Linked DNA regions of Macaca mulatta. The protein of the gene in region 2 interacts with the protein of the main gene of each other region in a biochemical or structural test. Links are inferred from orthologs where the notes say so. Each region holds a gene or a part of one and is shown on either strand. Other genes may lie near its edges.

Region 1 (4,254 bases), on a different chromosome or scaffold from region 2:
TCTGACTTCTAAGGCCAAGCTACCAAAAATTCTATGTGGCTAATTCACATCAGATTTCATTCTGAAAATCTCGTATATTACTATCAGTTATTTGCTTAATGCAAAACGTATTTATTTCAATTAATGTTTTATGGACGCTTCAATATAAATTAGGATGCAAAAAACTGTAGCGCCTTAGAAATCCTCCATACTGTTTAGAGCAGGGAATTGCTACCACACAGCCTATAATCCCCTTAGCAGCGTGTCTGAAATTCTTCCAGATTCTGTCAAGATTCAAAACTCAACAGCACGACCCACAAACCAACTTTTACCTGCCCATTCCCAGGCCTTCTAATATGCATTCCCCCAGCCCAGGTCCCCCCACCTGGAACTAATGTTTAAAATTCTCGAGGCTCGTGGCACCATTTAGCTGCACCTCAGTTAACAAATACCACTTAAAGCCCACCGACCTCCTCCCCCTAGGACCTTGGGGCAATTTCATGACCTTGCAGGGTTATGGTGTCAGCAAGTGGTTTCAAGGCAGTGCTAGGTGTCCTTCCCTTCCCCGCCCTCAGACAGATCTATACCGTCCCTTCTGCACCAAGACCACCCTCAGGGGCATCTAGGATGTTCGCCTTTGCTGTTCCAGCACCCAGCAAAGCGTCTGCAACACGGGAGGTGCTCGACGGCCGCGCTCTCTGACTCGATCGAATCTTAAAGGGTCACTCTGTCCAGCACTGGAGGGTTTCAAAGGGCGTCAAGGACAAAAAGCACAACTTAACATTTCCCCTGGGCTATCGCTCAGGCTCCCGACACCTCGCGGGCCCTGAGACTGGGGGCCTGGCTCGCAGTGGAAGCTCAGGAAGTGTTGATTAGCTGAGGGAACTCAAGACCGCCCAGACGTCAATTTGGACTCAGGCCGCAGTCCCGAGGTCCCAGGTGGCCCTCGGCCTCAGGGGACCGGGCGGAACCTTGCTCCGCCGGAGCCGGGCCCTGCGCACGCCTCGCCGGCCTCAGAGCCACTTTCTGCAGCCCCCGCTACCCGGCGCTTCCGAGGGGCCAGGGGCCCAGTCAGGCCCTGCGACCCCAGATCTGCTCCTGCGCCCATCTCCTCCTCCCTGCCCCGTGCCCAAGCTCTTCCATCCCTTGCGGTCCTGCCGATCTTCCCGCAAGTTGCCATACCATTGAGGCTGCAAGGTCCAGGCCGACAGCCCAGCTACGCCCGCGCGAGAGAACATGGTAGCCCCAGCCCTGCTGAAGGTCGGTCAGGCAGGCCTCAGCGCGCATGCGCAGAAGCCTCCTAGCGCGTCCCTCCCACCTCGCTCTCTTCTTCAGTCTCGTTTCCTCGCGCTACGGCGAGAGGAGCCTCGCGAGCGTTGCAACCCAGTCTTCCCAGGACCCACCTCTTTCCGCCTCTCAGCTGGGATTTGTCCCGCCCACCGCCGCCAGCCAAGTTCCGTTTCCGGCTTGCTGGGCACTAGGGTCCAGAAAGTGACCGCTGCCGTGGTCGCCATGGGGAAGTCGGATTTTCTTACTCCCAAGGCTATCGCCAACAGGATCAAGTCCAAGGGCCTGCAGAAGCTACGCTGGTATTGCCAGATGTGCCAGAAGCAGTGCCGGGACGAGGTGAGTGGGCTCGGAGTGGCCCCGTCTTCCCAGGAGGGCCCCTGGGAATCCAGGATCAGGTCCTGGACGCGGGACTGAGGGCGCGGGGCCGGGGCTCTTGGGATCCGGGTCGTGAGGCTTCTGAGGTCTGCACTGGGCGAGTCAACTACTCAGCGCACTAGAGCCGTCCCTCCCCGCAGCCCGCGGGGCCAGCGGGCAGCCTGTGTTCTGCGACCCCTCATTCCTCCCTAGTTCCGATCCCCACCATCAAAGAAACGACATCAGAAAAGGTTTTGCAGCCCTCACAGGGGCGGGGATACTGCAATACTAGATGCCCGGGCAATGCCAGTAACAGTCATCAGCTCTGACTTGACTTGGCTCTTAAGAGAAACAGGGTGGTTAGGATTCACACCTCTTTTGGGATCAGTTGAAAAAGGAGAGCTAAGCTCTTCCACACAACTCATCTAGCAAGCATTTATTGAGAACCTACACTGTACCGGGCACTGAATAATACTGTGGTTAAGATTATGGATTTATCTGGTTTATGGATATATCAGACTGTCAAAATTTAAAGTCAAGCTGGGCCACTTACCAACCATGTGGTCTTGGTCAAGTTATTTACTTATATTCTCCTTTACTTATCTCTAAAGAGGGAATAATAATTTCACCTACTTGTAGGATTGTCGTTGAGTTTTAAATGAGTGAAGTATATATAGAGTGGCTCAAGGAGTCTGGGCAGATCTTGAAAAGCCTTATATGCTGCACTATGGAATTTACGCTTTTCCCCATTAAAGAGGTGGTTGATGGAATGCTGTGCAGGCTAGCGATGTGATCATAATTTTCTCCGAAGATCGGACTGGATTGGGTAAGGGTGGAAGAACACTGAGGCAATTGGAATAATCTAATCCAGTGTTTCTACAAGTGAAGGAAGAGATATTTTAGGTGGGACTCATACTGACTAACATTGATACAGTTATTCTCTTTAGTTCTATTAATGAATACCTGTATATCCATTATCTAATGTCTTAGTCTGCTTGGACTGCCATATAAAGTGCAATAGATTGGGTGGTTTAAATGACAGAAATTTATTTCTCACAGTTTCGGGGGCTGGGAAGTTCAAGATCAAGGTGCTGGCGTGGTCAGATTCTAGTGAGGGTCCTCTTCTTGGTTTGCAGAAACTGCCTCTATCCTCACAAAGCAGATAGAGCAAGCTCTAGTAGACACTTCTCTTCCTCTTTTTTTTTTTTTTAAGATAGGGTCCCACCCTGTTCATCATGCAGGCTCTACCCTTGTGACCTCATCTAAACCCGGTCACCTCCAAAGGCCCACCTCCTAATGCCATCCCCTTGGGGGTTAGGGTTCAACATATGAACTTTGGGGGGGACGCAAACATGCAGTCAGTAACACCCAGACTTAACACTTTAAGTAATCTTGCCATGTTTAATTTATAAAAAATATTTTAAAGTAAATTACCAATATCAAGATATTTCACCTCTAAATACTTAAATAGACATCTCTAAAATTTCAGGATTCTTTTCTATATAACCACAATATATGTAATCAACATAACAAAATTAATAGAAGTTCCTCTTTATCTAATACACATTCACACTTCCTCAGTTGTCCTCCAACTGCTTCTTGAAATCAAGATTCAATCAAAAGTCATGGACTGTTACAGATTTGGTTATTAGGACCCCCACCCCCCGAGTCTCCCTCATTATCAGCATCCTGCAACAGGCTGTTATATTTGTTACCGTGGATGAAACTACATTGACACATCAGTATCATCCAGAATCCATAGTTTACATTAGGGTTCACTGTTGGTGTTTTATATCCTATGGGTTTTGACAAATGCATAATGATATGTATTCACCATTATAAAATCTCACAAAATAGTTTAACTGCCCAAAAAGTTATCTGTGCTCTGAGTTATTAGGACTTTTAGTTTTCTCCAAATTTAATTCTCTCTATATTCTGAATTTAGAGTATAACCCATTTTCTCTCCACCCCTTTTTCTTTTTTTTTTTTTCCAGACAGAGACTTGCCTGTCTCACAGGCTGGAATGCAGTGATGCGATCTCACTCACTGCAGCCTCTGCCCCCCGGGTTCAAGTGATTCTCATGCCTCAGCCTCCCAAGTCGATGGGATTACGGTCACCTGGCACCACGCCTGGCTAATGTTTGTATTTTGGTAGAGGCAAGGTTTTGCCACGTTGGCCAGGCTGGTCTCAAACTCCTGTCCTCAGGTGATTCACCTGCCTCGGCCTCCCAAAGTGCTGGGATTACAGGCTTGAGCCACCGCGCCTAGCCTTCTTTTTCTTGACATTGACTTGTTGAAGAGAGGAGGCCAGGCTATTGTCCTGTAACATCCCATGTGTGTTGACTTGTTTCCTCTGATTGTCTTTTGCCTTCTAACTCGTAGTTTCTGTCAACTGGAAATTATATCTAAAAGCTTTGATTGGGTTAGGTTAAACATTTTGGGGAGAAAGAATACTTTGTAGGTGATCTTGATAGATTAATTTCAGGTTAAACACTTGTGGGGAGGAATATAGTTTTTTTTTGTTTTTTGGGGTTTTTTTTGTTTTTGTTTTTGTTTTTGAGACAAGGTCTCAATTGGTAGCCCAGGCTGGAGTACAGTGGCACGATCATGGCTCACTGCAACCTTGACCTT
Region 2 (4,196 bases):
GATCACCTGAGTCCAAAAGGCGGGCGTTGCAGTGAGCCGAGAATGCGCCACTGCAGTCTGTAGTCCAGCCAGGGTGACAGAGCAAGACCCTCTCTCAAAAACAAATTAAAAAAAAAAAAAAAGTGAGAGGATTTAAAGGAAAAGTAATTAAGGGAATCACTACACAGGTGATACACAGATACAGAAAAATTATGCAGGTGATACATTAATAACTAAAACTTGGAAAACCATGGTTGAGGCAAAGTTGTCAAAAACAGGGGGGATCTCCCTCCAAACACATGTTTCATCTCGTGGAAAAGTATCATCAAACAGCAGTAGTCTGATGGGCTTTCAAATTGGACAGACCAGGTGGGGATCCCTGGTCTCTCACCTCCTAGCCATGTGATCTCAAGAAAATACTTCACCTCTCTGCATCTGTTTCTTCAGCCACAATCTCATGCCGTGTTACTGGGTGGGTAAAGTGCTGAGCAGAGTCCTGGGCTCACAGTAGGTGTTAATAAAACACCAGCAACCTCCTTGTCCTGGGGTTGGTTTCAGGTATTTGACCCAAACCTGCCTGTAACCCCTGACTGCCTACAGAAGCTGTTCCTACCTGGGTAGATGTGTTCCCTAGGCATGTCATGAAATCTCGCCAGGCCCCCGTTTCTTCAACTGCAAAAAGAGGTCATCATGACTCAGGGTGTCCTAACTATCCCAGTACACTGCCGGAGTTCCTACATTTAAGTGCTTGTTGTGGAGTAGCAAAAGCTGTACCAACAAAAAATTTTTTAGGAAAAAGATGATTCCTTATTGGTCTCCATGCTAGCTTTCCCACTCAACACTATAAAGCCATCAAAATGCAAGTGGGTTGTGAAGAAAGTCTGTGAATCTGGCAAATCAATGCAGAATTTCATGGTGTCATTGAAAGTGCTGGACCTTCAGGCAAATACTGTTAATCAATGGGATTGGCAAAATTAGATCAGATTCCAGAAGAGAAAATACAGCTTATACCTACCACTTATTTCAAAGGCAGATCAAGCTCTCTCAGGACTTAGAGATGTCCTGGGGGAAAACTGAGAACTTTCACATATAGTTTCTGTTTTTAATATTGCTGTAAAAATAAAAAATCAAAAGCCATTTCTTTGAAAATGGAACCAAAGGATGCTATTTCTTTTTTCGCCACAGTGCATTTTTTTTTTTCCCGAGACAGAGTCTCACTCTGTTGCTCACGTTAGAGTGCAGTGGTGCCATCTCAGCTCACTACAACCTCCGCCCCCTGGGCTCAAGTGATCCTACCTCAGTGTCCCGAGTAACTGGGACTACAGGCACACATCACCATGCCCAGCTAATTTTTGTATTTTTAGTAGAGATAGGGTTTTGCCACGTTGGCCAGGCTAGTCTTGAACTCCTGACCTCAGGTGATCTATCTACCTTGGCCTCCCAAAGTGCTGGGATCACAGGCATGAGCCACCACACATGGCCTATAGTGCAATTTTGTTGGAAAACTTACATCCCAGAAAAATCACTGTTCTTTGCTTTTTCCAAAAGTGGGCATAACATTACACACTAAATTTTAAGTATAGACAAAAAAGAAACTTAAATTCTTAATCTCTAATTGAATTTTCCATTTTTAAATTCAATCCAACCGGGCTTCCCAAGAAATGCACACTGCAATGTAAGTCCCAGGTGAAGGAGACTCCCTTTAAGTGGTTTTCCCTAGAATCAGCTCTGTGGGAATAAGAAGGCTCTCTTGAACCTACCTCAGGGCCTGTGTGAGGAGCAAATGAGACAATGATCACTTTTAGGGCTCACGACATATAGTAAACGTTCAATAAGCAACAATAGTAAGTACTATCATTATAGCAATATGATGATTAAAGTGAATGCTGGGAAGAAAGAAAAAAGGTAACAGTTTCTCTAGTCAGGAAAAGTCTCCCTCCAGGAATGCAGGGTCTGTATGCATTTGGGGCTCCTCTCTTCACTGGGCAGAGCTGAGAAAGGAGCCCCAGGTTGCAGATGGGGACCCGCCCCGCCACCTCTCCATAGGGCTGCAAGCTCATCCCTGCAGCAGGAGCTAACGTGTTCTTGGCTCTTCTAAGGCTCTGGGGACTAGACTGAGACGCTGCCTAGACTGAGACGCTGTCAGCCTTCCTCTCCTATAGGTCCCCAGTCAGTTGTCCCAAATAAGCAGTTTGCTGGGATCACGGTGTTGAAATAACTTCCCTCCTCTTTCTTTCTGATAAGTGCAACTCACTCAACAATCAGGAATTTGGCGCGATCCCATAACGATTTAGGCCAGGAGCTGGATAACGGAGGGTAGGGTGTGAACGCCTGTGTTGGGGGTGGGTAAAACGTAGCCTGGCCACGGCGCGCAGAGTCGTAGTGAGGGGCTCCGGGGACGTCCCTCGTGGGGCTCCTCGTCCTTTGTCTTGTCGCCTTCCTAACGCCACCCTTGTGGGTTAACTATTGCCCTCTCAAAAGACAGTCACAGGTCGGGCACTGCCCTCCCTTCCTAATCTTGAACCGAAGGAGAGGTGCCTGGACCCAGGACGGAAACTCAGGCGACGACGTGGACTTCTTCCCCCAACACCTGTGTTCAGAAGGGGAAACAGGCTAAGAGTGGGGTCGGGCCTCAGGGATCTGGGCCTCAGATCCGTGGGAGCTCGGATTTCAAAGTAGGCTCGGCGCCAGGAGGTTCCCTGCACCCTACCCTGTCCCGTCTCTTTTCCCAGTCACTTACCCGCCGCGGGGCTCAGCCTGGGGTCCCATCCGACCCTGCTGTCGGTCGGTGGGACTCAGGCGGCCGCCATAACAGGCGGTCTGCGCAGGCGCGGCCCCGCCCCCGCGTGCAACCATCTGACCGCAGCGCACCGTGGCTCCACCTACCTGCCCGGGCCGCGCATGCGTGCGGGGGTTGCCGGCAGTGTAGGCTTCACTCTGGTCGCAGGTGAGACGTGTTTGCTGAGGGGACCCGCCTAGGTGGGAACATCTCCTCACATGTGTGGCCAAACTCATTCCTCTAAAGGAGTTAAATAGGAGTTAAATAACTCGCCCAGCTACTAAATGGTAAAGCCTGGATTCACCCGGGGTGTGGGATCCAGAGCCTGTGCTATTTAACCAGCATGCTACTGCATTTATTATCACGAGTGTAATCGTTATCCATGCTCTTAGTACCCATTTGTTTGTTTGTTTGTTTATTTTTCTAAGATGGTCTTGCTCTGTCACCCAGGCTGGAGTGCAGTGGCGCAGTTTTAGCTCACTGCGGCCTTGAACGCCTGGGCTCAAGGAATCCTTCTGTTTCAGCCTCTCTAGTAGCTGGGACTACAGTTGCGTGGCACCTTTTTTTTTTTTTTTTTCTGGTAGAGACTGTGTCTTGTTATGTTGTCCAAGCTGGCCTCCGAACTCTTGGCTTCAAGCAGTCCTCCTGCATCGGCCTCCCAAAGCTCATAAATTACAGGCATGAGCCACCACGCCCAGCCAGTACTCGTTGTTATTAATAGGTGGTAGTGATTTCATTAATTCATACGCTTATCAAGTTTCCAACACCAAGGGGGTGGGACAAAGTGGCAAACATAAGAATCCATGTTTGCAAAAAAAAAAAAAAAAAAAAGAATCCATGTTTGCTCGTTTTTTCTTGCCTGCAGAATTTCACAAAGCCTCTGAGTTGGTGACTGAGCACAGCTCTCCGAAGAATGCCCTGAAGAGGATGAGCAGGAGAGAGCACAGGTTCTCACATCTCTTGCCTGAGTCACTGCATTTTTAGAAAAAGTACAGTCAGTGATATTGGCCCTTTTCTCAACCTGTGTGTTCAGTGACATCATGGAAGTCAGCCTGGCCACAATGGAGTAAGCCAGGGGATGGGCCGTAGGAAACGATACATAGGTAGCCAGGGTTAGAACTTTTGTGACATTGTAAGAACTTCGGATTTTATTGTGCGTGAGATGGGGAGCTGCCAGGGGTATACACCACACTGATGTGTTCACAGACGTGCCCAGACACACACAGTGGTGTCCATTCTCAGACATGTCAGCACACAAATACACAGGAACATGTGTAAAGTCCACATATGTAAAATCTATATCCCTGTGTGCTCATGTGTACACACATGCACGCACATGGCCTCAGCTGGCAACCTTTGTCTAAATTACTTTTTTTTTGTCTTTGCAAAACAGAATTAAATCAACATCAATTTCACGGTTACTGATAATAAAACGTGG

Evidence for each region.
Region 1: of the proteins of METTL22 (region 2) and KIN, one has a biochemical effect on the other in vitro, tested with the Homo sapiens proteins (2 studies listed by BioGRID). The link is inferred for Macaca mulatta from reciprocal best matches to the Homo sapiens genes METTL22 and KIN.

The regions. Positions count from the first base shown.
Region 1 is NC_133414.1:9,286,924-9,291,177, reverse strand, and holds the start of KIN (DNA/RNA-binding protein KIN17), read left to right. Parts: upstream 1-1,451; 5' UTR 1,452-1,491; coding exon 1,492-1,605; intron 1,606-4,254. Other genes in the region: ATP5F1C (ATP synthase F(1) complex subunit gamma, mitochondrial), read right to left, coding at 1,162-1,217. UniProt on the Homo sapiens protein: Involved in DNA replication and the cellular response to DNA damage. May participate in DNA replication factories and create a bridge between DNA replication and repair mediated by high molecular weight complexes.
Region 2 is NC_133425.1:9,860,365-9,864,560, reverse strand, and holds the start of METTL22 (methyltransferase-like protein 22), read right to left. Parts: upstream 2,810-4,196; 5' UTR 2,720-2,809; intron 2,570-2,719; 5' UTR 2,234-2,569; intron 1,091-2,233; exon of another isoform or gene 995-1,090; intron 1-994. UniProt on the Homo sapiens protein: Protein N-lysine methyltransferase. Trimethylates KIN at Lys-135 (in vitro).